4 linked regions of the Elephas maximus indicus genome follow. The protein of the gene in region 2 interacts with the protein of the main gene of each other region in a pairwise test. Links are inferred from orthologs where the notes say so. Each region holds a gene or a part of one and is shown on either strand. Other genes may lie near its edges. The genes, in order: BCL2L1, SNCA, LAMP2 and ARFGAP3.

Evidence for each region.
Region 1: the proteins of SNCA (region 2) and BCL2L1 interact in binary tests that used the Homo sapiens proteins (3 or more experiments, as listed by UniProt). The link is inferred for Elephas maximus indicus from reciprocal best matches to the Homo sapiens genes SNCA and BCL2L1.
Region 3: the proteins of SNCA (region 2) and LAMP2 interact in binary tests that used the Homo sapiens proteins (3 or more experiments, as listed by UniProt). The link is inferred for Elephas maximus indicus from reciprocal best matches to the Homo sapiens genes SNCA and LAMP2.
Region 4: the proteins of SNCA (region 2) and ARFGAP3 interact in binary tests that used the Homo sapiens proteins (3 or more experiments, as listed by UniProt). The link is inferred for Elephas maximus indicus from reciprocal best matches to the Homo sapiens genes SNCA and ARFGAP3.

What each region holds. Positions count from the first base shown.
Region 1 is NC_064843.1:37,711,882-37,719,054, reverse strand, and holds the start of BCL2L1 (bcl-2-like protein 1), read right to left. Parts: upstream 3,006-7,173; 5' UTR 2,798-3,005; intron 2,732-2,797; exon of another isoform or gene 1,686-2,731; intron 1,436-1,685; 5' UTR 1,312-1,435; coding exon 748-1,311; intron 1-747. UniProt on the Homo sapiens protein: Potent inhibitor of cell death. Inhibits activation of caspases. Appears to regulate cell death by blocking the voltage-dependent anion channel (VDAC) by binding to it and preventing the release of the caspase activator, CYC1, from the mitochondrial membrane.
Region 2 is NC_064823.1:65,339,797-65,347,776, reverse strand, and holds the start of SNCA (alpha-synuclein), read right to left. Parts: upstream 3,013-7,980; 5' UTR 2,926-3,012; intron 2,899-2,925; exon of another isoform or gene 2,582-2,898; intron 1,436-2,581; 5' UTR 1,411-1,435; coding exon 1,290-1,410; intron 1-1,289. UniProt on the Homo sapiens protein: Neuronal protein that plays several roles in synaptic activity such as regulation of synaptic vesicle trafficking and subsequent neurotransmitter release.
Region 3 is NC_064846.1:36,116,111-36,122,961, reverse strand, and holds the start of LAMP2 (lysosome-associated membrane glycoprotein 2), read right to left. Parts: upstream 3,003-6,851; 5' UTR 2,975-3,002; coding exon 2,905-2,974; intron 1-2,904. UniProt on the Homo sapiens protein: Lysosomal membrane glycoprotein which plays an important role in lysosome biogenesis, lysosomal pH regulation and autophagy.
Region 4 is NC_064822.1:187,129,731-187,136,705, forward strand, and holds the start of ARFGAP3 (ADP-ribosylation factor GTPase-activating protein 3), read right to left. Parts: upstream 3,005-6,975; 5' UTR 2,879-3,004; coding exon 2,810-2,878; intron 1-2,809.

The sequences.
Region 1 (7,173 bases), on a different chromosome or scaffold from region 2:
GAAAGCAACAGGCAGAGCAGCTGGAGCTCTCCAACCGACCCCAGGCAGTGAGGTGCAAAGTCCCCAGGCTTAATGCATGACACAGCAAGAGCTCCACAAACATACCACTCACGCAGAAAGTTGCACACTTAGGGGTGTGGTGCAAACAAAGGCTGGCACAGCCTACACTGCCCTAAAATAAGACAATCTTCAGCCATCCAACACGGTGGTGGAAAGTTTTGCCTGGCCATGCCCTATCCTGAGAGGAAAGTACCACACAAGGAAACTCCAAAATAAAGGGAACTTGTTTTGGGGATGGTTGACACCCTTGGGGGAGAAAAGATGGAGGGGTTTGTGGACCACTGATGCTCAGTCTCTTTTGCACGCATTATACTCATTACCTGTTTGGGTGGTGAACCATTGTGTCAGGGTGAGGAAACACTGGACTAACTTCCCACTTGCATAGGTTTTGACCTGAATGAACACATAGGCTATGTCTTCCTTCACTGAGGTACTGAAGCACAAGTATGAAAAAGTAGGGTCATGAAGATGACCAGAATGAAAGATGCCAGGTCCTTCAAGAACTAGGTCATCTGTATTTCCTAACAGTTAACTCCTTGTAGTGAAATGAGGCCAGTCACATCCCTGAACCAGCAACATCTCCAACCATCACCCAGCACAAGAGAAAGAGATACAAGGGAAAGGCTATTGAGGATCTCTCTGACCAGAGGCCAAAGAAATGGGACACACAAGGGGCGTGGTCCTTACCCAGCCGCCGTTCTCCTGGATCCAAGGCTCTAGGTGGTCATTCAGGTAAGTAGCCATCCAAGTTGCGATCCGACTCACCAATACCTGCATCTCCTTGTCTACGCTTTCCACGCACAGTGCCCCACCGAAGGAGAAAAAGGCCACAATGCGACCCCAGTTCACCCCATCCCGGAAGAGTTCGTTCACTACCTGCTCAAAGCTCTGATATGCTGTCCCTGGGGTGATGTGGAGCTGGGATGTCAGGTCACTGAATGCCCGCCGGTACCGCAGTTCGAACTCATCGCCTGCCTCCCTCAGAGCTTGCTTCACTGCTGCCATGGGGATCACCTCCCGGGCATCCAAGCTGCTGCTGTGGCCAGTAGCTCCATTCACCGCAGGGCTGTCTGCCAGGTGCCGGGATGGGTTGCCATTGATGGCACTGGGGATCTCCATCTCGGATTCAGTGCCTTCCGAGGCCCCAGTCCTATTCTCCTCCACATCACTAAACTGACTCCAACTGTATCCTTTCTGGGAAAGCTTGTAGGAGAGAAAGTCAACCACCAGCTCCCGGTTGCTCTGAGACATTTTTATAATAGGGATGGGCTCCACCAGTCCATTGTCCAAAACACCTGCTCACTCACTGAGTCTGTCTCTGTTAGTGGTTCTCCTCTGAGATCCAAAGCCAAGATAAGGTTCTGAAGGGAAAAAGCTTCAGGGGAAAAAAAAAATTAATATGTATGCCATCTCCCCACATCACATTCCCCCTCCGGGTACCAGAGCTGATTGTGTGGCTCTTATGACGGTCTGGGTCTAGCTTCCAGGAGACTTCGAAAAGTCAAATGGAAAGCCCCAGTGGGCTCTGAATCATCCACCAACCTCTTTCACTCTAGCCACCCCCTATTCTCTGAAAAGCCTTCCTCAGAAAGTCACCCTCACGGGCAGTCCCCCACACCACCTACATTCAAATCCGTTTCAGGCAGCGGCAGGCAGGTGCAGCCCCCGGAAGATCTTTTGTATCATAGGTCGCGAGGGGAGGTGGCGGCCGAGATGCCGGTAACTCAGCCGGCCTCGCGGCGGCTGGCAGAAAAAAAAAAAAAAAAACCAGCTCCAGCCGGAGGGCTCATGCGAGCCGGCAGGCTGGAAGCCCTGAAGGCGACACTGGAACCGCGGCGCTCAGGAACCGGCTCCCTCGCTCGCTTCCTCCTCCATCGCCCAGACCGAGGGCGGCCGCTCCGCCGCGGCGGCCTCCTTCCACCGGGAGCCCAGCCCCCTTGCTCTCGCACGCCCCTTGGCTCTCCGCCTCCTACCGGGAGCCAGGAGAACTCCCCCGGAGGCGGCTGCTGTGCCGTTTATTTATTTATTTATTTAAAGGACCAGCTCAGGGTGAAGCTTCTGAAACCCTGCAGGGACTTCTCAATGGGCTCAAGGTTTCGATGAGGGGAGGAGGAAGGAGGAAACAGCCTCGGATGCGCGATGTGGCTTCGGAAAGGCCATCCCCGGCCCTTTCCGGGAGGCTGAAGGCCGGGGGCCCCCCACAAACGCTGCTGGTTTTCTTTGAATTCCCCAATGGCCCTGGACGTGGCGGTGGTAGTAGGGGATTGCCCGGTCCTCCATTCCCCGCCCGGACACAATGGCCGCCGGCGCCGTGCACAAAGACCGGGTGACGGTGAGGCGCCCGGCTTCTCGGGTCGGAAAGTGGGGTCGAGGGCCGTTCGAGGCCCCCCACAGCCGAGACCACGTTTTCCTGGGGACAGGCCCACGGCGGTTTCCTGCCGCCCCCGGGAGGGCTGAGGGGCCGGGGGGGCTGCACCTCCGAAGCCCGGAGTGGGTGGGCTGCGGCCTCGCGGCTTCTCCAACAAGCTAGGCCGGGTACCCGCCAGGCCACCGCCCTGTTGCTAGGCAACCTTCTTTCCTCAGGGGCTCCCCCTAGACCTTTCTGGGAGGAGGGGTCTCGCCCCTGGCGGCCGCCCTACCGTAGCCAATCAGCGAGCCCAATAGGCACGGGCGCGGGACGGCGAGGGCTCCCATTGGGCGCAGCGCCTGTCACGCGCAGGGGAGGCGGTGCTCTCACCTGCGAGACCCGCGAGGCGTGGGGGGCCACATCCCCCTTCATGGGCCTGGTAGTTTCCAGACACGGGAGCTCTTCGCGACTGACTTCCGTGCCGCGGACCAGGGCCCGCCTACCTGGCTGACTGCTCTTGCCGTCTCTTCCCAACAAGCCGGCCTCAGTTTCCCCTGAAGAGACCGGGGGAACTTGCAAGCTCAGTCACTTCCGGTGCTGCGGCAGCGCGCGCGAGCCCGAGACGCAAAGGGAGTGCGCGCTTTAAATGACTGGCGTCAAGGCGTGGGAGAGAGCGCCCTCTTACGGAACATCTGGGGAATTCGAAGCCTTAAATCAACATTTACATTCACACATTCATTTATTCATTCCGTCTCTTTCATCAACCTGTTAATTTGTATGTCGAGAAAGCGTCACATTGTGGCTGAAAACAGAAGCCCTGATGGCGCAGTGGTTAAGCAATCTGCTGTTAACCGAAGTATTGGCAGTTGGAACCCACCAGCCGCTCTGCGGCTCCGCAGGACAAAGACGTGACAGTCAGCTTCCTAAAGATTTACAGTCTTGGAAACCGTATGGGGCTGGGGCTGTTCTACTGTGTCCTATAGGGTCGCTATGAATTGGAAACGACTAGCCGGCAATGGATGTGGCTGAGAAACTTATCTCTGGGGTTCCGACTTTGCCACTTGGACAAGTTACTCAGCTGCTCTGTTCCTCAGTTCCCTCACCTGTGAATTGGGTAATAGTACCGACTTTCTACGTAGGGTTATTGTGAGGATTAAGAGAATTATTATTTGTAAAGTCCGGAGAACAGTGTGTATACCATAGTATGTGCTGTGTAAGTTTATTCAACAAATACTGTTTGGGTTGCTGAAGATAGAGTTAGGAACAAGACAGATACAGCCCGTTTTCCTGGAGGCTTAAACCATTTTTTTTTTAAACCATAGAGATGGAGAAAGACAGTAAGCAACTAAGAAAATACACAAACAAGATAATTTCAAATAGTGATTGGTACTAGGAAGAAAATAAATTCGGGGTATTGTCATAAAGAGGGCCAAGGAAGAGAAGAGGTGCTGTTTTAGACAGGGTGGTCAGGGGAGAGGCATTTATTCACAATTATTTATGTAGGGTAGCTAGGGATTGCCTCTTTGAAGAGAAGACGTTGAACCCAAGACTAGGAGGATAAGAAAGTGCCAGCCTATCCGAAGAGGCTGGAGAACATCAACCTAGGCAGAAGGATAGCATGTGCAAATGTCCCGAGGCAGGAAGATCTCCACACATGCCAGAAGCTGAAAGTGAAGCAGTATGGCTGGAGAGTAGTGAGAGAAGGGTATAGTGTGAGAGGAGATTAAAGTTAATCACGGAAATGAGTTGGAATTGATTCTAAGCATGGAAAGGTATGTTAATTGATTAAAAATAGGTATATAGGAACACTGAGTATTAAAAATGTACAAAAGCACGTGAATGAAAAGCAAGTCCTCTTTTCACCCCTGCTTTCAAGTCCCTGGTTCCCCTCACAGAGGCTATCACCTTTTCCCATGTAGCCTTTCAAAGATGGTTGCTATATTCAGGAGCTTATTTATATGTATAAATGTTTTACACAAACAGTAGCATGCTACACACACTTATACACCTTGTTTTTTTTCACTGAGCTCTACATTTTGAAACTGCCTCAAGTTTTTAAATTAATGCACAACTTTATAAAGACATGCTATAATTTATTTGCTCAAGCTCCTATTTAGGAACATTTAGATAGACTCCGCAGGCTGCCAGAAGAATGAACAAATCTGTCTTGGAAGAAGTATAACTAGAACGCTCCTTAAAAACGAGGATGGTGAGACTTGGTCTCACGTACTTTGGACATGTTACCAGGAGGGACTAGTCCCTGGAGGAGGACATCATGCTTGGCAGGAGGACATGAAGCACTTACTGATGAAGATCAAAGACTACAGTCTTCACTATGGATTATAACTGAAAAAAAAAAAAGAAGCCCATTACTGTCAAGTTGATTCTGACTCATAGCAACCCTATAGGACAGTAGAACTGACCTATGGAGTTTCCAAGGAGCACCTAGTGGATTCGAACTAATGACCTTTTGGTTAGCAGCCGTAGCACCTAACCACTAGGCCACCAGGGTTTGGATTATTCCTCAACATAAACACAAAACACAAAAATAAGTAACATCATGATAAACAGAAAAGATTGAAGTTGTCAAGGATTTCATTTTACTTGGATTCACAATCAACACCCATGGAAGCAGCAGTCAAGAAATCAAATGACATATTGCATTGGGCAAATCTGCTGCAAAAGACCTCTTTAAAGTGTCAAAAAAGCAAAGATATCACTTTGAGGACTAAAGTGCACCTGACCCAAGCCATGGTATTTTCAATCGCCTCATATGCTTGCAAAAGCTGGACAATGAACAAGGAAGCCCGAAAAAGAGTTGATGCCTTTGAATTTTGGTGTTGGCAAAGAATACTGACTATACCATGGACTGCCAGAAGAATGAACAAATCTGTCTTGGAAGAAGTACAGTCGGAATGTTTCTTGGAAGTGAGGATGGAGAGACTTACTTTGGACATGTTACCAGGAGGAACCAGACCCTGGAGAAGGATATCATGCTTAGTAGAGGATCAGCAAAAGAGAGGAAGACCCTCAACAAGATGGACTGACACAGTGGCTGCAACAATGAGCTCAAACATAGCAATGATCGTGAGGATAGTGCAGGGTTTCGTTCTGTCGCACGTAGGGTCGCTGTGAGTCGGAAAAGACTCGACAGCAGCTAAGAACAACAGGTAGATTCCAATCTTTTGCTATTACGAATAATGCTGTCACTGGTCCATTCATTATTCTGCATATGTGGGAGTTTGTCTGCAAGGTAAATTCTTGGAAGTGAATTACCAGGTAAATGAGTAAATGTATTTTTTTCTTGCTTTTAATGGCTATTGGCAAACTGTTCTATACAGCAGTTGTACCAGGTTACTCTTCCATCAGTCAAGTATCATACTGCCTATTTCCTCACACCCTGGCCTACACAGTGTGATACCAAACCTTTTGATCCTTGCAAATTGGATAGGTAAAAATTGAGAGGTACTTTTATTTTTCAGTCCCTTTATTATAAGTGAAGTTGAGCAATTTTTCATATTTTCGAGCGATTTTTTTGGACTTGTGTTGGTAAATTCTCTGTTCATATCATTTGCCCCCTTTTCAGTGGGTCTTGCTGTTGAACTTTTCCCTCATTGATTTATAGGGGTTTTTATCCCTTTTCCCCCATATGTATGAGTTGCAAATATTTTTCTGGTTTTATTACTTATTACCATGAAAAAACTTTTAGCTTCTATATGTTTTATCAATCTTTTTCTTTGGGGCTTCTGGGTTCTGTGTTATACTTAGAAAGGCCTTCTCCAGTTCAATTTTATAGAAAGAATTCTACATGTTGTAGTTTTACATGGCTTCATATTTTACATTAAAATTTTTTTTCCACTGTAAATTCACTTTGGCATAAAGTGTGAGTAAGGATCCAGAATTTTTCCCCCAAATAACTACCCAGTTAGTTGTCAACACCATGTATGGTCCCATCTTTTCCCATTCATTTGAAATGTTTCCATTATCATAAATTACATTCCAATGTGTATTTGGGTCAATTTCTGAGCTTTCTATTCTGTTCCATGGGAGGCTTTTAAGCTGGGGCAGGACATGATCTCATTTACATTTTTAAAATCCGTGGCGTCACAACAATTTCTATGTTACGAGTACCATTCTGGGTGGTGCCAAGAGTTAATGAGCTTGGCTGCTAAGCGACCAGTTGGTGGTTTGAGTCTTCCCAGAGGCGCCTTGCAAGAAAGGCCTGGTGATCTACTTCTGAAAAAAATCAGCCATTGAAAACCTTATGGAGCAGAGTTCTACTCTGAGACACATAGGGTCGCCAGGAGTTGGAATCAACTAGACAGCAGCTGGTTTTAAGTGTGCTACGGGAGTCGCTATGAGTCGGAATTGACTCGATGGCACTGGGTTTGGTTTTGGTTTTATGGGAGCCCAGCAGAGGGTGGGATCAACTGTGCCCCGAGGTGCAGGCTCTGTTGAGCGATCCCTGAAACGAGAGTAGAATTTTGTCTGAGAGAGAAAGGACATTAAGAGCATTTCAGGCAGAAGTCACAACAGTTGGACACAAAAGCCCGCAATGTGTCCTAGGAATAAACTGGGATGCTTGAGAGGGGAACAGTGGTAGAGGAGATTGAAGGTAAATGTGTGGCCACATGTACAGGTCACTAAGTAGCAGCCAGGTTTTTTTAAACAAGGAAAGGACATGAAGAGATTTATATTTTGGAAAGATAGAATACATCGTGCTAAGGTCTCTGTAATCCTCCCAGACGGTTAAGCACTTGACTACA
Region 2 (7,980 bases):
TGAAAGGCATTCATAAAAATCATTCCAAGTATAATTTTTTTCCTGCTAATCTACACTGCATAAACAGCGTAGCTTTCTTTCTCCCTCCAGACACAGGATAGCACCAGTGTCATCTATGCCATCCAGTATAGTTATCCTCCACCTTACTACTCACCCCATGGTTACTGCTACTATAGCTGCTCCCAGATAATGTGGAAGAGTTAAAAGGAGAAAAGGAGAAAGAGAACAAAAAGAATGAGCAGAGTGGCTGAGTGTGGGAGTGTGTGTGTGTGTATCTATTCCTGTTATATCACAGCGCCTTCCCCAAAGAATTTGAAGTGGTTTGTAAAATAACACCCAACCTAACACAGTTCTAGATATAAATAAGGAAAAAAGATCAAGACTTCTGTATATATTCCAAGGTGGGAATTTAGGAACGAGTAGAAGTGGTAAGCATCAATCTCATTATTTAGTATGTGCCGTTTGAGAAATGTATTATATAGACGTTGCAGAGATATTAGCAGTAGTTCTCAACCACTTTCTCAGCCTACCAGATGGCTACAATACGTAACTCCACCGAAGACTAATCTGTCCTTTCCATTTTAGGGCCACAGTACGTCTTTTTTTATACATCACAGACCAAAACTGAACGAAACCCATTGCCATTGAGTCGATTCTGACTCATAGGAACCCTATAGGACAGAGTAGAACTGCCGCATAGGGTTTCCAAGGAGCTGCTGGTAGATTTGAACTGCCGACTTTTTTGGTTAATAGCCGAACACCTAACCATTCTGCAACCAGGGATCCAATATCTAAATCTTATTTAAAATCAGAATACATAAAAAATTAGGAAACATTATGATGATAAAAGAAATCAAAGACCTATGAATGATTTTGATTCCTAAGAATATTCTTGATTATTTTTTATAAGTCTCTGAATTTTAAAAACTTCATCTGAAGTACAGTCACTTATACACATGGGTCACCATGAGTCAGTACTGAATCAACAGCGACAGGTTTGTTTTTTTTTAATGCAGGGAGGCACTTATTTAAAAAAAAAAAAGGAACTAAAAAATCCTAAATATTATTATAAAATTGAATAATCAGGAAAAACAAAAGGTTATCTTCATTTTGTACTATTAGCCGAAATGCACACATTCCCCTACCCACACATACCTGTGACTCAGTGCATTCTCTTTGCAAGTGATGATGCAAAGATGAATCAAGCAAAAAAACAGCATTTAGAGCATCAACCATCCTAACCCATCAGTCATGGATAAATATTAAAATGACAGTCGGGGTTTACCTACCTACGTAGAGAACACCCTCTTTTGTCTTTCCTGCTGCTTCTGCCACACCCTGTTTGGTCTTTTCAGCAGCAGCCACTACTCCTTCCTTGGCCTTTGAAAGTCCTTTCATGAATACATCCATGGCTAATGAATTCCTTTACACCACCCTGGAGAACACAAAATACACTTTGAATGAGAACTTTTTGGTAAAACAAAACAAAATTAAAAGCACCCAAGGTAAAAACCACTGAGAAATCAGTAGAAATCCCAAAAGTGTGAGACACAAACTTTTAAGTGTATCCTCATTCCGATGGCTGAACAAAACAACACTTCTTTAGATTTTGCTTTAAAAATTTAGCGTCCCTCATCCACCTTGCCAGTAAAAGTCTGGCTGCCTAACATGGATTAGGATGGATCATCAGGACTGTTTCTACTGCATTTTGCAAGTGGAGTAGCATGAAAGGATGGACCCCTCTTCCAACTTCCTAGGATCCAACTCGTGACAGTTTAAGTTAGATGCATGTTTAGAAGAAAACCACAAGAAAAGAAAAGAAAAGGAGTTGTAGGTGTGCATTCAGAGGCATCCTAGAAATGAATCCCAGAATAGGACTGAAAGCTTGATCTTGGTGGAAAGAGGCGGGAAGAGAACTACCCACCCCCCACACCGGGTGTGGCTGTACCTCTGGACAGAAGCAGGCTTCCAGCCCTCCTAATCCACTGGACCATCCACCCCACTCTCTGCTATCTATCCAGTGCAGGCGCTGTTCACACCGGCTGGTGGTCTCCAGATTAGCGCCACCCGAGGGGCAGTTCTCCGCCCTAACCGGCCAGGGGACCCCGTGTCCAGTGGTGAAGGCTGGGCCTGCACCTGTTAACCCTTTAACACATGTCGACTTGTTCTTCTGGCACTTCCGTTTAATTTTTTTTTGCAAAATGCAGCTTGCTTACATTACAGGGAAAACAGAGAGGGTGGAGTGGAGGATTTAGGTAAGGGAGTAATAAAAGTTGGAAATTCATCCGTCCATTGAGCATTCTCGCCTTTCCCAAAGGAAAAGCGTATCCGGAGAATCAGCCTGATCTCTCAGCCTTTGGGGTGGGTAAGGAGAATATGGGAATCAGGTGGAAAGCCAAATCCACTTACTTTCCTCCAGCTCACCAAAAGCACAAATAACCACCGCCAAGAGACTTGGCACAGCCTGTCCTGACCGCAGCAGCAACCCCCCCGCCCTCCACCCCCAGGCGTCCTCATCTCCCACCAGATTTTCTCCAAGATTTCCAAAGCTCCTTGCCCCTTTAGCTCCACAGGTACTTACCTGAGCCCCTCTGCTCCTCCGAAACTCTGTTTCCTCCCCCTCTTTTTAAATTTAAGCAAATGTTATTGAAATGAGAACTGGGAGGAGAGAAGTGCCCAGGAAGGGCGGAGCAGCTCCAGGAGAGGGAGGGTCCCCCAAAGGAGGCTGCTGTCAGCACAACCTGGCGACGAGAGGCTGGGGACGTGGGAGGCGAACCCGCGAACCTGTCGTCAAATTACCACTCCCCGTCCCCCGCACAAGAGGATCCAAGAGAAAGACAAGGTCGGAAGGGAAGGCGGCGAGAGCTGGAGAAGGATGCTAAGGCGGGGCTGGGTCCCGAGGTCCGCTCTAAAGACAGCACACACCTCACTGTCCCGCCTCGCCTTTCACGGTCGCTCGCCCCCTCTCTCCGGCCCCCTTCAGGTCGTCGTGGTCTTGCTCCTCCTGCTCTTCTTCCTCCTTCTTCTGCGCTCACCGCCCCCTCAGCTGATTTGTCAGCGCCTCTCCCCGCCCCACTCCAGGCGCCCTCTGCTTTCCTTGCCTCGTGCGCTTCGCTCGTTTTCCTGGATGGAGGGTGGAGGGACGGAAGGGGGTGTCTTTCCAACTCCAGTCTCCCGCCTGGTCCTGGAGGCAGGAAGGTGGAATGTTCGGCGTGTCACCTCAAGTTCAGGGTCACGGGGGAGTCCTGTGGCGAGCGTGAGCGGTTAGGCTTTGGCTGATGTCTCTCCTGCTTTCCCACAGCCTCTCTTTCCTTGTCTCCTCCTTTCGCTCTGGTTCTTCGTGAGGACCCCTAGTCAGCGCCAACCCCTGGGAGCCAGAAGCAATCTCTCGAGGAGCTGCTGAAGGACTCAGATAGATTAGGATGGTGCTCATATACGTACCGACAAGAGCACATTTCTCTCCGATCGCTTAAATTTGGTAAACGGTCGCAGAATACAAAGTCAGAGGTCGATTTTGTTCAAATATCCTCCATCCTAACCTCGGATGAGTCCGAAAATGTCCTGCAGGTGGAGAGGAGACTAGTAAGGAAGAGTTACAGGTTGATGAGGCAGGAGGAAGCTCGACAAATCCTCTTCCCACCCCACTGTCACCATTTTCTTTTCCACCAATCAGAGGATGCCAGACGCCGGTTTTTTTCCCCATCTGTGGAATAAATATTCCCCAGCCGTCGAAAACAAGCAGTCAGTCTAAGGTTTTTCGCTCTCTAAATGGAATTTACTTTCCAGACCACCAAGCACCTGGATGAAGGAGACAAATCCAGTCTGGTTTTTCCCCCTGAACGATGATTCCAATTTCCCTTCGGCTGCTTGTAAGACCGAGACTCAGAAGCACTCAACTCATCTTTCTAACTTCAGATTCACTCTGCCCTCGAAGTTGACACTGAACCTCCCCTAGCCCCCTCTGGACAGACAGACGGACCGACAGACAGTCAGACACACACACACACGAACGCACGTGCTCGAGTTTCAAAACGTCTTTTTTTTTTTTTTTTTTTGCATCGCTTAACACATTTTCACCTCTTTCAGAGCTTGGGAGGAAACAGATGTTCCTGGATCGGACCAGAATAGAGAATCAAGCTCCTCCCTCTAGCAGAAGGCCTTTGCTTTCTTTTGCCTGGATTAGGAGAATGATTTCACAGCTTGAAGGAAAAAACAAGTCTTTGCTGTATGGCTTTTTGTTTGTTTATTTGTTTTATTTATTAAAGATGTTTTCGAGGATATATATATATAGGTGGACAGTGCAAATCCACCAGCCGCTCCTTGGAAACCCTAAGGGGCAGTTCTCCTCTTTCCTACACGGTCCCAATGGGTATACATACATACATATACATTTAAAAAAAATTTTTTTATGTGTCTACATATATATATTCAGTAGAAAAAAGTAGAGAGTGAAACTGAGGTCATAAATATTTATTGCTTAAATACCTCCTTGCACTATTGTTTTATCTTTTTTTTAAAGCAGGCTTTCCAAAAACAGTAGCTCATAATTTGTTTCCTTGGGATCAGAGAAAGAAGGTTGAACCTGGGAACTGGTTAAACCTTAAACAATTATTTTCTGCTTCTGTTCCCCGATGACTCTTTGGTAAATGAGAAAATGAACCCAAAAGATTCTGTTCTTTTCAATTTATTATTACGGAAAATGTTCAAACATATACAAAAGTAGAGTAGACTAAAGGACCCTCATGTGAATACCACACAACTTCCACATTTATACGCCTACACATGTTGTCACAAAGCTCCCTCTATTTGTAAGTAAATCCCAGATACTACAAGCATCTTTTCATCTGTAAATACTTCCACATACATCCATAAGGTGTAAGAACTACTTTAAAACAAGCACAATAGCATTTAGGTGATTTTTAAAATTTAAGTATAATTTAAATACAGTGAAAAGTGTCTCTTTAAATCAGCTCTGAAAAATTCATGTATTAGTATAACCCACAACATTCTGAAGACACAGAGCATTGCCATCACTCCAGAATGTTCCCTTGTGCCCTTTCTTATTTGTGCCTATGCTTGGATTTCATTACACAAAATCATAGAGTATGAGCTTTCCTTGTACCTGTCTGACTTCTCTCACTCAGCGTATTTGTGAGGTTTGTTCCTACTCAGTTGTTGCACGCGTCAGTAGTGTTTCTTATTGCTTTCCATTGCTTCTTTTTATTGTTGCCAATAATAAATGCTTTCCACTGTGACCTATCACAGCTGGAGCTGGCTCCCTTAAATATTATGATAATTATTTAATGTATTATTTCATAGGATTTCTTTATAAGTTAACAGGGACGTTCTTGAGACTCGGTGCCTTAAATCAAAGGGGTAACTAAAATGACAGCTATTTTAGGTCCCACAGCAGACCAATGGGAGATTTATTTTGGGGTAGTGGTTGTTTTTTTGCTTTTCATAAAATAACATGATTCCACACCTTTATATGGTACTTCATGCTCTGCAAAGGACTTTTGCCTGAATACACCACCATTTTTATCCATTCTTCCATGTTCATGTACTTTCTGGTTTTTTCCAGCTTGAGGCTGTTTAGAAAAATCAAATTAATCTCAGGTCAATTTTTTTATCAGTTCTGTTCCCCTCCATTCCACTTTTGTTCTGATACCAGCTACACATGCAGCATTTCCTCCTCGGACCCTAACCACCTGGATTTAGGTCAGACCTCACAAGTTATAGGGCACTGTTCTCCAGACTTCCAAGTCTGCCCAAGATTTTAGATGCCAGCTGCAAGCTTGGGAGTCCCCAGTGGCCCCCCCATCTTTTCTGACCTGCTATGTACAAATTCAGGGGTTCCCTTTACCCCTTCAGAATACCAGCCATAAGCTCAGGATTCCCAAGTCCCTTCGCTTCTGACTTAGTTTCTCCTAACTCAGATTCCATAATTTGCTAGAACAACTCATAGAACTCATGGAAAGCGTTATACTTGTATTACAGTTGTATTACAAGAAAAAGATACAAATAAAGAGATGCATAGGGTGAGGTCTGGGAGGGTTCTCAACTCGGAGCTTCCATGTCCCAAAAAGGGACTCACTATTCTCCCAAGTGTATTGACATCTTTCACCAATTAGGCAGTCACTGGAGCTGCCAAGTCCAGCATCAATTTTGGGACCTCAGTTAGTATGCATGATTGATTGATTCATGCCCTACCTCCGTAAAGTTGGCTGCTATCACGTGGTGGTCTTTCTAGCCTGTCTAGGTACCACCTGAGTCACCTCTTTAGCATAACTTGTCGGGTCTGGAGTTCTCTTCGATAAGAAAGATACTTCAATAACTGGAGAAATCCCAAGATTCTAGAGGTTATCTGTCAGGAACCAGAAAAAAAAAAAAAACCCAATGCCATCGAGTCGATTCCGACTCATAGCGACTCATAGGAACCAGAAAAAGATCAAATTATTTGAATGAAGTTAATGGAAACCTCAGTGGGGCTTGTCATGGATTGAATTGCATCTCCCCCAAAAATATATATCAACTTGGTGAGGCCATGATTTCCAGTACTGTGTGGTTGTCCTCCATTTTGTGATTGTAATTTTATGTTGAGAAGATTAGGGTGGGATTGTAACACCACTCTTACTCAGGTCACCTCCCTGATCCAAGGTAAAGGGAGTTTCCCTAGGGTGTGGCCTGCACCACGTTTTATCTCTCAAGAGATAAAAGGAAAGGGAAGCAAGCAGACAGTTGGAGACCTCGTACCACCAAGAGAGCAGCACCAGGAGCAGAGCGCATCCTTTGGATCCAAGGTCCCTGCGCCTGAGAAGCTCCTTGGCCAGGGGAAGTTTGAGGACAAGGACTCTTCCTCCAGAGCTGACAGAGAGAGAAAGCCTTCCCCTGGGGCCGACCCCCTGAATTTGGACTTGTAATCTACTAGACTGTGAGAAAATAAATTTCCCTTTGTTAAAGCCATCCACTTGTGGTATTTCTGTTATGGCAGCACTAGATAATTAAGACAGGGCTGTTACGAATAAAGTTGCTCTGAACATTCTTCTGCAAGTCTTTTTACTCTTGTTGTTGCTAGGTGCCATCAAGTTGGGTCCAATTCATAGTGACTGTATGTAAAACAGAGTGGAATAGAGCCTGGTCCTGTGACATCCTCACAGTCATTGCTATGTTTGATGCCATTGTTGCACCCACCATGTCAACTCATCTCATTGAAGGTCTTCCTCTACTTTACCAAACATGATGTCCTTCTCCAGGGTCTGGTCCCTCCTGATAACATGTCCAAAGTACATGAGATAAAGTCTCTCCATTCTCACTTTTAAGGAACATTCTATTCTGGCTGTAGTTCTTCCAAGACAGATTCGTTGATTCTTCTGGTAGTCGATGGTATATTCAATATTCTTTTTGTATGTGTATGTGTGTATACATATCTATAAAGTTCTCTTCAATAAATCTCGAGGAGTATAATTGCTATGGTAGGTGTTTGTTTAAGAAACTGTCAAATTGTTTACCAGTGTGGTTGTACCATTTTACGTTCATACAGCAATGAGTAAGAGTTCTGGTTGCTATATCCTCTCCAATATCTGAAGTTGTAAATATTTTTCATTTTTACACGTTCTAGTAGTTGTATAGTGGTATCTCATTATGGCATCTCAGTAAAATTTCTAGTTCAACGGTATCTCAGTAAAATTTCTAGGAGTTCAATGGTATCTCAGTAAAATGTCTAAGGATGCAGTAGTATGGGGCATGTTGAGGCATCATTTGTAAGTGAAGGATATGCTGTTGCATATGGCCCCTCCTACAACCAGCACAAAGGGGCACAATGCCTAGTGGGATTACGGAAGTAACATATTCCTTGCTTGGGTGTGCTACTCCAGTCCATTTACTGAGTGACCTGAGAAGCTGATAGTTTCGAATAGAGTCTAGAACAAAAGAAGGCTCTTTAATTGGTATAGGCTGCCATGCAAACTACTGTGATATTTG
Region 3 (6,851 bases), on a different chromosome or scaffold from region 2:
CTCTTAGTTTTGTTCTGAGAATAGTTTTGCTCTCACAGACCCCATAAAAAGATCTTTGAGAATCATGGGATTAGATAATCAAGAACCCTTCCAATGCTATGGTTCTAGGGCAGGGTTTCTCAACCTCAGCATTACCGCCATTTTGAGTGGGATAATTCTTTGTGTGGGGGGGGCGGGCTGGTCTGTGCATGTAGGATGTCTAGCAGCATTCCTAGCCTCTACCTACTAGATGCCAGAAGCCATCCCCACCCCAGTTATGACCACTCAAAACGCTTTGAGATATTGCCAACTATCCCCTGGTTGAGAAGCACTGTTGTAGGGTGTTGATTTGATCCTATAGAAATGTGAATTACAAATTGTATTCCTCTCACTGCCTTCTCAGACCCCTAATATGCCTGTTTCTTCCCCACTCCCATCTCAGTCTGTTCCTTCTGTTCTTTTATTATTTCACAGATAGCAAGAGCCAGTGGGTAGCAACAAGCATGGGATGATCCAGTCGGGAAGAGATATTCTGGTCAAAGTTCACTTTTCAGGCCTTAGAGCTATTAGGGCACCACTTAGAGGCACAGCACAATCAGCCAACATTCACCCAGTCATTCTTAGGACCTGGTAACAACTCAGTCCTTAGGAAGCTACCTATCCTCCCTCCCAAAAAACAAACAAACCAAAGTAATAGGCTACTTATGGGTTCAGGGAGAAGAAAAAAAGAGGCTCGGAAGGCAAGGAGGTAGTATACAAGATGCAAATATACCACCCGCAAAACCTCACATTTGGGAGATTCTCCCCAAGTGAAGCATCTGGGGGATTTCTTTGTCAGGGTCTGGCTGGGAGGAAGGAGCAAAAATGGTAGAAAAACAACATCCTCAATACATCCAAATCAGAAATTCACTCCCCACTTCCTCCTTTAGTCTCCCGAAGTTGGGTCCAAGTTTCTTGCCTCAAAATTGCCCCAACCACCTTAGGTTCCTTCATCCTCAAAACTCTACCTATATGTAACCAAACACCTCATGGGATTTGGTTCCTTGGATTAGAGGTTTAGGGTCATGGTTTCATGAAACATCCCAGCTAACTGGCCTAATAACATGATTAGTGCTTCTGTTCTACCTCCTAGTTCGTTGTGTAGTGCCTGGGGTCTTAAAAGCTTGCAAGTGCCATCCAAGGCACAACAATTGGTCTCCATTCACCTGGAGCAATAGAGGAAGTAGGAGAGTCAAGAATAGGAAAAGGATATGGGATATGTGGCTAATTGCCTACATGAACCACTGCCTCCTTTGCCAGGAGATCAGAAGAACTGGATGATGCCCGGATACCATTACTGAATATTTTGATCAAAGATTCTATAGCAGGATCCCGATCAAAAGGGGGGAAAATACAGAACAGAATTCCAAATTCTCATGGACTCCAGACTTTCTGGAGCAATGGAAGTTGGATGAGCCCCTGAAACTATTGCCCTGAGATAATCTTTAAAGCTTAAACCCAAAATACCCCCTGAAGTCTTAAAACCAAACAACAGTTTAGCTTAACTAGTAAAAAAAAAAAAAAAGGCCTGCCTTGAGCAATATGCTCTTTTAAGAACTATCTATACAGGATCAAAGTGACAACAGCAACTCAAAAGATTAGACAGGAACCTTGGGGGCGGTGAGTTCACCTTAATGAAGGAAGAACAACTCAGAAAAGGAGGGTGAGAATGGTTGCACAACTTGAAGAATGCAATCAATGTCACTAAATTATACATGCAGAAACTGTTGAATTGGTATATGTTTAGTAAGTATATTCTCAATAACAACAACAAAATAAAATTTAGAAAAAAATAACGACAACAAGAAAAAACAAATGAGAAAAGTTTCATATAATGCTGGGGAACAGTTTCTAGAATATAGATTTTTAACTAAAAAAGCGAAGTGCAGAATTGTGCACATAGTTTGCTATTATTTCTTTTTTTAAAAAAAACTATTCTACCTATGCAGGAGCCCTGGTGGTGAAGTGGTTAAGAGCTCAACTCCACGGCAATGGGTTTCATTTGGGTTTTTGGTTATACATATGCATAAAATATCTCTGAAGTAATAACAAGCAGCTAGTAACAATGGTTGCCTCTGGGTTGCTGGAGGACCGACAGGGAAGGGAGACTTAATTTTCCTGTATATCTTTTTATAACTTTTATATTTTTCCTACTAAATTTTCACCTCCTGATAATTTTGTACAATGTTATGAATTAGCTGTTCAAAGGCAAATTTAAAAAATTTAAAAAATGTGATACTACAAAAAAAAAAAACGCTCTGATTACCAAACTTAAACCCAGCATCATTCCTCAGCTCCTTCCTTCATGGCCTCAAATTCCTACCTACAAATACCATTCCACTCCCCTCCCTACTCCTGAGACTGAATCCTCAGATCTGTCCCCTACCTAAGCTTTTCCCCCAAACTTCTCCATGCAGGCTCAGTCTCTTCCCTCTGCAATTTTCTCACCCACTCCATAGTTTCGCTACCATCTCCCAAACTCGCCCCTGCTCCTGGGAAACCAGGATTTTCCTCTCCAAATTGTCTCTACCACCCCTTAATCTGCAGGAACCGCCCTCCTACGCGCACTCCTCAGTATCCTTCCAAGTTATTCTTTCTACCCCGACCTCCTCCCCTCCTCACTCTTCTCTACCCACTCCCTCGGCGTCCACCAGCCCCCCCTTATTGCCCCATCCTACTCTCCTGGGCCCATCTTCCCCACCACCCCTCGGTCAGGCCTACTCTAGGTTACTGTTCGCCTCCCCGGGCCTGCCGCCGCCGCTCAGTGTCAGCTCGTCAGCCCCTCCAACCCCGCCCCGCCGACCAGTCTTTCAAGTTTGTAGCCTTTGAAGTGACGCCCCGCCGGGCCTAGGCTGGGAGCCTAAGCCGGCGGGCCTGACAACTCACCCAGGACGACGCAAAGCAGAACCAGCCCCAAGCCCGGAACCGGGGAGAGGCGGAGGCCTCGGTACATCATGATACCGCAAACCAAGAGGCGGCGGCGGCGGCGGCGGCGACAAGAGCAGCAACACCAAGGAAGCTGCTCGTTGGGACTTGGGTAACAGCTCCGGTGACCACTGACCACGACGCTGCCAGAGCCAGGAATCAGCGCTTAAGCGCGAGTCATAAGACTCAGGGCAGGGCTCTTTCTTGCCTTCAGCCAATCCCCGCTCTAGAAAGCGTCGAGAAGGGGCGGTGGGGTAGGGCCGGGGGGCGGGGCGATGAAGCCCTGGCTTTTTGGTTCACAACCATTCTTAAGTTCATAAGAGATGTGCGCGGACGGCCTTTTTTAAAACCATAGCGAGAGGATAAACTTTTTTTTTTGCAGGAGGGGGCGGGGTGTAGATAGTAGAGATTATTTCAGTTATGGCTCCTTGAGAAAGAAGAGAATGATTTTGCTGGGATAAAAACGGTGGCCAGGCATCTCAACGTAATACATATGAGTTGGAATCGACTGGACGGCAGTGGGTTTTTGGTTGTATTGAGCACGCACTTAGTACCTATGCAGATCATGCTATTAATGGACAAGTAAGCTAGAGGGTAGTAATGAGTCCCTGACCACCAAAGCAGGACATGACCTTTAAATTCATCTACTTGCAACATCCTTGTGTTTCAGTTGGGAGAACTGAACCCAAAAAGAGGAAGAGCCTTTTTTAAATACAGGAAAAAAAAAATAAAGAAAAAGAAAATAGAAGGATAAAGGGGAAAAAATTAAGATCTTCCATAATCCCACTACCTGGAGAGAAACACTGTTAACATCCTGAGAAATATATATACATACATATGTATAGAAACCCTGGTGGCCTAGTGGTTAAGAGCTACGGCTGCTAACCATAAAGGTTGGCAGTTCAAATCCACCAGGCGCTTCTTAGAAACCGTACGGGGCAGTTCTACTCTGTCCTATAAGGTCGATAAAGTCGCTATCAGTCAGAATCGACTCAATGGCAACCGGTTTGGTTTTTTGGTTTATACACACATATATATATATATCTCAAAATACATGTATATACACATGTAAATTTTTAATGAGACCATACTGAACTCACTGTTTGATATACTTGACAGGTAAACGGATGAAACCTAAAGTCTTCAACAAATGAAAGCATCCGAAAACCTCAAGCTGGAATAAAGTACTGATTCTCAAATGTTATTTTCCAAAAGAATCACCTGGGGCTTTTTAAAGACACACAGGTTCCTTGGCATCATCCCCCAGAGATCCTGAAACAGTAGGTATGTAGTAGTCCTAGGGATCTCTTTTTAAACAAGCACACCAAGTGGTTCTCATTCCTATCACCCATAGACCACACTTTGAGAAACACTGAAATACAGCTTCAAAACCATCTTGTCCTGGGGATTTTAATTGCCTCTGTGAATGGACTTGGGAGGAGGGTCTTTGACTTCCCAGAAGTTGCATGCAACATTTATGTACGTTTATTTTTATGGGGGAGGTTTCTAGCTTTCATGAGTTCTCAGATGGGACCTGTAACTCTCTACCTCCCCCACACTCAAATATTAAGAATCACTAATGTACCCTTTTGGAGCCCTGGTGCCACAGTGGTTAAGAGCTCAACCTCTGACCAGTTCCAATCCATCGAATGCTCCTTGGAAACCCTATGAGGCAGTTCTACTCTGTCCTATAGGGTTTCTATGAGTCGAATCGCCTCGATGGCAATGTTTTTTTGTTTTTGATCTACCCTCACTATAGTTTGTTTTAATATAATTAATTCCTGAAAGTGAGAACACTTGGCAATGTATGTCTTCTGTCATAGAAGAAACTGAGTCATGAGTAAATGACTTGCCCAATACAGGACTAATATTCACTACAACTTTAGGCACTGCCTTTAGCAAAAGGTCCTTTAATGCCTCACCATTAATAAGAAGTGACATTTTGAGATGGTAATTGTTACGGATCGAATTGTTTCCCCAAAAAAGATAGGTTGAAGTTCTAACCCCTGTTCCTATGAATGTGGCCTTGTTTGTGTTGTTAGGTCCCATTGAGTTGAATCTGACTTACAGCGACCCTATGTAGGACACAATGAAATACTGCCAGGTCCAGTGGCATCCTCACAATCGTTACTATGTTTGAGCCCACTGTTGCAGCAACTGTGTCCATCCTTCTTGTTGAGGGTCTTCTTTTTCCCTGACCCTCTACTTTACCAAGCATGATGTCCTTCTCCCGGGACATGTCCAAAGTACATGAGGCAAAGTCTTGCCATCCTTGCTTCTAAGGAGCATTCTCACTCTACTTCTTCCAACACAGATTTGTTCATTCTTCTGGAAGTCCGTGGTTTATTTAAGATGCTTCACCAACACCATAATTCAAATGCATTAATTCTTCTTTTTTGTGTTTTTTTTTTGTTGTTGTTGTTGTTATCCAGCTTTTGCATGCATATGAGGCAATTGAAAATACCGTGGCTTGAGCCAGGTGCACCTTAGTCCTTGTTTATAAATAGGGTTATCCTTTTGTTATCAATTAATAAAGTCATACCACAGTAGGGTGGGTCCTATCCCCTTCTGAATGATGTCTTAATACAAGGGGAAAACAGACATGGAGACAGGGAGAAGACACCATGTGAAGATACATCAGCAAACAGCAAAGGAATGCTAAGGATTGCCAGCAACCATTAGAACCTAGAGAGAGGCATGGAACAGTCACTCTCTCAGAACCCTCAGGAGGAATCAACACAATCAATACCTGGACTTCTAGCCCTCAGAACTGTAAGACAATGGATCCCTGTTCTTAAACCCTTTCAAGACCCATAGGACAAATTTTATCCCACCTACTTTTTAGGTCTCTGGAGTTCTTTGGAAAGGGGATAGCCCAATTTTAACGCCTTTATCCTTAAGGTGGGAGCCTTTTGAAATGCGTGAAACTCAAAAATCCCGAGTGGAAGCCTCGTTTTTGTGTAGATTGAGCATTGTGTTAGGGTGATGCCTTTCAATTGTGTGAATTTTCTAAACTTTTGACAGGTTTGCCTTTATTTCTGTGAGATAAGCCTCCTCTTCACTATGTTTCCCACTTGCTATGTTCTCATGAGAATGTACTTATTGCGACAATAAGCTGTTGCCAGTCTTCATCCATAGTGGCCATTTCTCCTTCATGCCATTCATTGTTTCCAGGTGTTACTGGCTTCCATCTTTTCTAGCTTCTGAACAGTAAATAATGCCTTTCCAATAAGGAATAATGCGTTGAAGTGGTACTTTTTAAGAGATTGGAACTCCTGTAAATTATTCCTACTCTGCATTCAGTCTTAGGGTCCAGTCATTGCTTCCACATGTAGCAGGTGGCATGCACCACTGTGAGCAGTTCTGCAGTATTCCAGGGCAGCTGTTTCTGCTTCTTAGCTGTTAGTACTGCTTTTGTATTAATGAGAATACACAGTAGTAGTAATTTTCCTGAGATTCAAATTCTGTTAGTTTTATTTATTTGGCCTATTAATACTTCTTTTGCAGTAATGAAGAAAGCATTGCAGTGGTAATTTTCTTGATATAAAAAGTCCCTTGGCTTTATTTATTTGGGCTGTAAGTACTGCTTTTGCAGTAAAGAAGAATGCATTGTACCATGTTTTGAAAAATGTTTCATGAAAAATAATAAAAAGGCTAAGAAGATGGAGACTAGAATAAAATGTATGTGCAGTCATTACCAGGTCCCTTCATGTTTTACCTCATGTTTTGCAAATTTTCAAGAAAAAAAATTAAAAAAACAAATTTTATCACTCTCTTAATTTTCTAAGATTAAATCTTATGCAACATTTTGTAATAGAGGCAGATCTACACATTGGTCTGGGGTTGGTGTTTGAGGAACTCCTTGACATCCCTCTCTCAAGTCTGTTGTTGATACTGCTGGGTCCAGA
Region 4 (6,975 bases), on a different chromosome or scaffold from region 2:
GAAGCACAGGTGGTAGGGCTTTGTCTCACATACTTTGGACATATTAACAAGGACCAGTCCCTGGAGACGGACATCATGCTTGGTAAAGTGGAGGGTTGGCAAAAAAGACGAAGTCCCTCAAAAAGATGGATCGACATAGTGGCTGCAACAATGGGTTCAAGCATAATAATAGCGAGGATGGCACAGAACCAGACAGTGTTTTGCTCTGTTGTACATGGGGTCACTATGAATCGGAACTGACTCAACAGCACCTAACAACAACACTCTGCCTCTTGCAAACCGCCATGCAGCCCTTCTGTGTCCATCGTTCTCTAGTGTATCAGCTCCCTGAAGGCAGAAGCCGGGTCTTTTCTGACTCAACAGCACCTAACAACAACAATACACGCAGGTAGGTCCCCAGATGGCACAAGCAGTTTGCACTTGTCTGCTAACCAAGGTTGGCAGTTCGAACTCACTCAGCAATACCGTGGAAAAAAGGTCTGGCAACCTGCTTCTGTAAAGATTTTAAAAACCTGTTGCTATCGAGTCAATTCCAACTCATAGCAACCCTACTGAGCACAGTAGAATTGCCCCCGTAGGGTTTCCAAGGAGCAGCTGGTAGATTCTAACTGCCAACATTTTCGGTTAGCAGCCGAACTCTTAGCCACTGTGCCACCAGGTGCAGTTGTCAGGCACCTGGCTAGTAACCAAAAGATTGGTTGTTCAAGCCCACCAGCCTCTCCGCAGGAGAAAGACGTGGCAGTCTGCTTCCATAGAAATTACCACTTTGGAAACCCTATGGGGTAGTCCTACTCTGTCCTATCGGGTGACTATGAAACAGAACTGACCCGACTCTGGAGAGATTACAGCCAAGAAAACCCTACGGAGCAGTTCTACTCTGTGACACATGGGCTCATGATGTGTCTGAATCAACTCAACGGTGACTTTTTTTTTTTTTTTTAATATATGCAGGTACAGCTCTGAGTGCATTTCTTAGATTATCTCATTTAATTCTCACAATAACCCTTTGAGTCGCAATGAGCTCCTGCCCTCGTTTTCACATCAGGGAAATATTATACAAAGTGGCCAAGTAACTTGCCCAAGGGTAACAGAGCTAGAAAGTGGCAGAGTTTGAGTAATAATCTACAAGCAAGCCCACAGATGTCCCTCCAGAAGTATCTCTTAGGATAAAGACACTGACTTTATATTCTGAAGGGGCCGCCCTTCCTCTGATGAATTCAGCAAAAGAGAACACGTGTTGATCTGTTTCTGTGATAAAGGCGACAGAAAAAATTCTAGTCTCTACACTGTTCAGTGCAGATCCTAATCTTGCCTAGTTATACAGTAACCACTGTTTATAAACAGATCAATCCAAATTTGAAAATCAAGAAAATACCACAGAAGTGTGGCACTGGGGCTTTCTCCTCCTGGCTTTCCTATATCCGGCAGACATCACCCCCAATAAACTGTTTCCTACCTCCCTCCTCTGAGGCTGTAAAAATACGGGTGCTCCTCCATCATCAAGTAGCCCTGGTGGGCAATGGGTAAACACTTGGCTAATGAAAAGGTTGGCGGTTCGAATCCACCCAGCAGCTCTGAGGGAGAAAGACCTGGCAATCTGTTTCCACAAAGATCACATGCTAAAAAATCCTCAGGGGCAGTTCTACTCTGTAACACATGGGGTCGCTATGAGTGGGAATCAACTTGATGACATCCAACAACAACCACCACCATGAAGACTTAAAACCACCTGAATTTTGTAAAACTCTGGGATTTTCTATGCCATCATTTCCAGGCTCAGGACCAAGCTTGGTAACAGCTGTTCACTTGAGAGGTGGGAGTAGGGGTCTGGTAAAGGCCAGGGCCCTTGCAGGCCCTGTGGACAGAGGGACAGAGCTTCTGCCACTGGAGGGGTGGGGAGCATCCACGCTGACAGGGCAGCCCTTTGCACTCTGACCTGTGATCCTCCGCTGAGTGTGTCGGGTCACGTTCTCCAGATGCGTCATCACACCTCCAACCAGTTGCAAAAAGTTGTCAAAGTTTTAGCGGGGGCGGGGGGGGCGGAGGGAGAGGAAACAGCCTCTGAAGAAAAAAGAAAACCCCAATCTCCAAAGAGACCCAAACTGAGAAAAGTAAAGGGTTTGTGATCAACTTTCTTAGCAAAGGAGAAAAAAGCTGGAAACCATCGAAGAGACCACTCAGCAGCTTCGTCGGATAGGAAAACTGACCAAGGCTACCACTAGGGGACAGAGGGACTCACCCGGGCTCCCACAGGATGCGGAGGGGGCTAGTCGAGCTTTCCCCAGCACCCTGAGCTGCCAGCTGGGGTTTCTGAGGCTTGGGGTCACAGGCGGTCCCAGCGTCTAACCTCGGCTGGATCACAGGTGCCTCGTGATGTCCTCCCTCAGCCTTCTCTGGGGGGGTCCCAATATCCACCCTAATATCAGGAGCCCCCCAGTGCTTGCCCCCCAGGTGCTCACCCCCTGCCCTCTCAAGAGCTCACACGTGTCGACCTACCGGGCGCCCCCTCAGCATATGCTCCCGGCCTGGTGACAGGAGCCCCCAGGGGCCTGCCCCCCACCCGGTGACAGGAGCCCCCAGGGGCCTGCCCCCCACCCCAGGGGCCCCCAGGAGCCCCAGTGCCCGCCCCGCCCGGAGCCCTGGGCGTGAGCCCCCTCCCGGGCCCTCCTTGGTCCCGACAGGCGAGGCCCAGGCCGCCGCGGCCCCACAGTGCGACGTGTCACAGCCAGGCGGCTCCTCCTCCCCGCAGGGCCGCACGCGAGGTCCGGCAGGGATGCCCGGCAGGCCCCAGCACGCCCGGCGGCCCTACCTTATTAGTGGGCACCGAGCGGAGGCGCTTGAAGATGGTCAGGATGTCCTGCTTGCTGGGGTCCCCCATCGTCACCGGAGAGCCGGGGTGCTGCTGGCTCCGCCAACTCGGATGGGCTGAGGAGGAGCGGTTGCCGCCTCCCGGAGAAGGACGACGGCCGGGGGGCGGGGCTGAGCGTTACGGCCAGGCCCCGCCCCGGAAGGGCCCGCCCCGGCTCCGCCCCGGAAAGGCCCGCCCCGGCTCCGCCCACAAACGAGGCGCACGCGCCGCTCTCCGTCCCTGCGGGCCCCGGCCTTGCCGGACCCTGGCCCCGCCCCTCCTAAGCCCCGCCCCCGGCGCTGCCCGCGTGCGTGTGAGGGTGGCTCTCCTTCTCCCGCCTTTGCCAGCACTATCGCGGGCAGCTTCCCCCGGGGGTTGCTGGGCACCGAGCCCGGGTGGGGAGGTGCGACTGGCTCTGTTTGGGCTGGTTGGTCCTCATTCGACTGATGGAATACCTCCACGGCCAAGGTCTTCTCGCATCCTTCCCGCGAGGACAGCAGAGCCAGGCACTTCAAATGCCAAAGGAGGAAACTGAGGCAAAGGGCCTCCCCGCCTTCGGTCCCTGGCGCCAGACAGAGGACTGGAGCCTGAAGCCCACCCGGACCGCTGGCTTTTCCCTAGTCGCCTTGTTTTTTTCCTCCCCTCAGCTAAGGCTGAAGGAGCCCTGGTGGTGTAAAGGTTAAACGTTAGGCTGCTAACTGAAAGGTCAGCGGTTCGAACTCGCCAGCTGCTCCGCAGGAGAAAGACCTGGCAATCTGCTCTTATAAAGATTACAGTTTAGGAGACCCAATGCGGAAGTTCTGCTCTGCCACATGGGGTCACTGGGAGTCACAGTCTACTTAATAGCACCTAACAACAACGTCTGAGGCCGAGCCCTAGATGGGGAAGCTTTCTACCCTGGAAAACTGGTTTTCTTAAAGTTTACTTAATGGGTAGAATGTAGTCAAGAGACCAGTCCTCCCTGAAGCAAAAAGTACTCAAACTGAAGAGTGTAGACAGGAAAAGATGCTTGACTTTGAACCCCAGTGCCTCCTGGCCTACTTCTTCCCCTTTGGCTACTATTTCTAATTGTTGTTAGCTGTAGTGGACTCCCCCCAGCTCATGGTGACCCCATGCAGGCACAACTGGGCTGGACCATTGTTATCCATAGGGTTCCATTGACTGATTTTCAGAAACAGATGGCCAGGCCTTTTTTCCTAGTCTGTCTTTGTCTGGGAGCACTGCTGAAATCTGTTGAGCCTCATAGCATCATGCAAGCCTCCACCGATAGATGAGAGGTGGCTGCACTTGATGTGCACTGGCCAGGAATTGAACCGGGGTCTCCCGGATGGAAGGCGAGAATTCCATCACTGAACCACCACTGCCCTAGCTAGCTACAAGGGTTTAAACCCATGGAGGAGGTACCTCTTTTATAACAGTGGGTGTGGAGCTGCTAGAAAGGTGTTGCCTGAGGTTGGATGGTGCGGTGGAAGGGTAACAGGTTTGGAAGTCAAATATAATACCTTGGCTGCAGTCTCACTGCAGCCACTTTATAATGCTGTAAACTTGGTCAAAACACTTCACTTTTCTGAACTTTAAAACGCTCGTCTATACGATGGGTTTACAGATGAAGAATCAGTGCTGGGCAGCACAGGAGGGCAGCTTCCCAGTGAAGCCCTGGAAAAGCCTTTAGCAGTGGTCTTTCCACTTTTAGAAGCTGAGAGTGTTTACTCAACTCAAGATGTCTAGTTAGATACCGTGAGGAGAAGTTGGAAGCTTGTAGGGAATGGAAAGCCATAAAAATCCAGGTTTGGAACTTTTCCAAAGAAGGAAAATTTATTACCTTCCAGAACAACAATCAACTTTAGCAAACAACTCTGTTAGAAAGTTCTTCCTTATATTGAGTCAAGTCTGGACAGATGATAGATGTTGCTAAGGGTTTCTCCACCAAGATGGGGAAGGTATCAGGCCTTCTCTGGAAAGCAGTGTCCTAACACCTCATTTCTAGCCTGAATGAGCAGGAGAAGGAGCCTCTTTTAAAGGTACCAAAAGATAGTAAGGATTATAGAGAATGAGGGAAAAAAAAAAAAAAAACTAAAAGGATAGCCTGGAAGAATGAAACTGAGGACGAGGATGAGGCTTGAGCTCTGAGGGACAGTGCAAAGGAGGGCTCTGAAAGCAGAATCCAGGCAAACAGACAGGCCTACATGGCCTCTGGGTAATTATCCTTGTTATTTATCCCCCCCCCCCCCCCCGCCAAGGAGGGGCCCTGGTGGCTCAGTACTTAAGTGCTTGGCTACTAATGGAACCCACCAGTCGCTCCTCGGGAGAAAGGTGTGGCAGTCTGCTTTGGTAAAGATTTACAGCCTTGGAAACCCTATGGGGCAGTTCTGCTGTCCTATAGGGTCCTTATGAGTCTGAGGGATAGTAGAACGAAGGAGGGCTTTATTGTTATCATTTCATTTACTTTGTTATTGTTGAGAACACAACAGTAGAACATACCCCAATTCAACCATTTCTACATGTGCAATTCAGTGACATGGATTACATTCCTGGAGTTGTGCAACCAGTCTCACCCTCCTTTTCTGAGTTGTTCCTCCCTCATTAATGTAAATTCACTGCGCCCTGAAGTTCCCATCGAATCTTTCAAGTTGCTGTCGTCAATTTGATCCCATAGACCTAGGTCTCAAAGAGCATAATGCTCAAGGCAGATCTTTTTATACTAGTTAAGCTGAACTATTGTTTGGTTTTAAGATAGAAGACGGTTTTGAAAGAAGGGCCCAGACATATAGCCATGTCCCCACAGCCTCTGTGTAATTGCCCTGGGTATTTATCTTTTATGAAGGCAGCCTGGTAAGGCTGTGGCCAACCGAAAGGGCATTTTGCTTATTTAGTGCAATTACAGCGGAACGGGAGCTTGCTGAAAGCCAAATGCCACCCTAAGGAAAAGCTAGACATGTCTAGACAGTCATACGCTGCATCACAAAGTGCAGACAGGCAAAAGATCTTGACACTTGCCCCTTGCCCCTGGAGGACACCACCAGTGGACTTTAGTTAGGGCTGATGAGGACACAGTGAACTATCTCTTAGGCCCATCGTTTCTGTGCAGGTCGGGTCACCCCCAGCTGGAGGTCCTCCCTCCTCATCTGCCCCAGCCTGACTTCCTGCCCAGGTGGGAGTCAGGCAACCTGTTATGGGTTGAATCGTGTCCCCTAAAAATGTGTCAACTTGGCCATGATTTCCAGTGTTGTGATTGTCCACCATTTTGTGATCTGATGTGATTTTCCTGTGTTGTAAATCCTACCTTTATGATGTTAATGAGGCCTGCTTAGAGGTGTTATGTTAATGAGGCCAGACTCAATCTATAAGATTAGGTTGTGTTTTAAATCAATCTCTTTTGAGATATAAAAAGACAGAAGTGAGCAGAGAGACAGGGGGATCTCATACCACCAAGAAACAAAAGCCAGGAGAATAGTACACTCTTTGTACCTGGGGTCCCTGTGCTGAGAAACTCCCCAACCAGGGGAAGACTGATGACAAGGACCTTACCCAGAGCTGAATTTGGACTTCTAGCCTCCTAGACTGTGAGAGAATAAATTTCTCTTTGTGAAAACCATCCACTTATCGCATTTGTGTTATATAGCAGCCTAGATAACTAAGACATGCCCCTTCACTGAAGGGAAGGGTAACAGCTAAAGGAGCCCAGGGTTACCCCGCCCCTTAGGGCCTTGGGGAGTTGGGAGTCCCTTGTTTGTCCTCATTTCCTGAGACTTGTGGGCTGCGACCTCCAGAACCCAGCATACCCCCCTCATCAGCTCTCCTGCCCTTCCCTCCATCGGGCTCTGGGCTCCCACCCCGCGACAGGACTCCTGCTCTAAGCCCAGTTCTTCATGTTTGTCCTGGCACCATAGTTTCGCACACAGTAGGTGCTTAATAAACGCTTGGTAAATGCATGAGTCAGCCCACTGCAGGCCAGGGGCAGATAAACAGGAAGAGGGAGCCAGCCGATTCCCTGCCAGGAGGGGCTGCTCACGGGCCAGGCCTCCCTCAGCCCCCCAACCAGTTGCCCTGTGACAGTGGGCAAGCCTCTTCTTCCCCTCACTTGGCCTCAGTTTCCCCATGAGCAATGAGGGGGTTGGTTGGTCAGG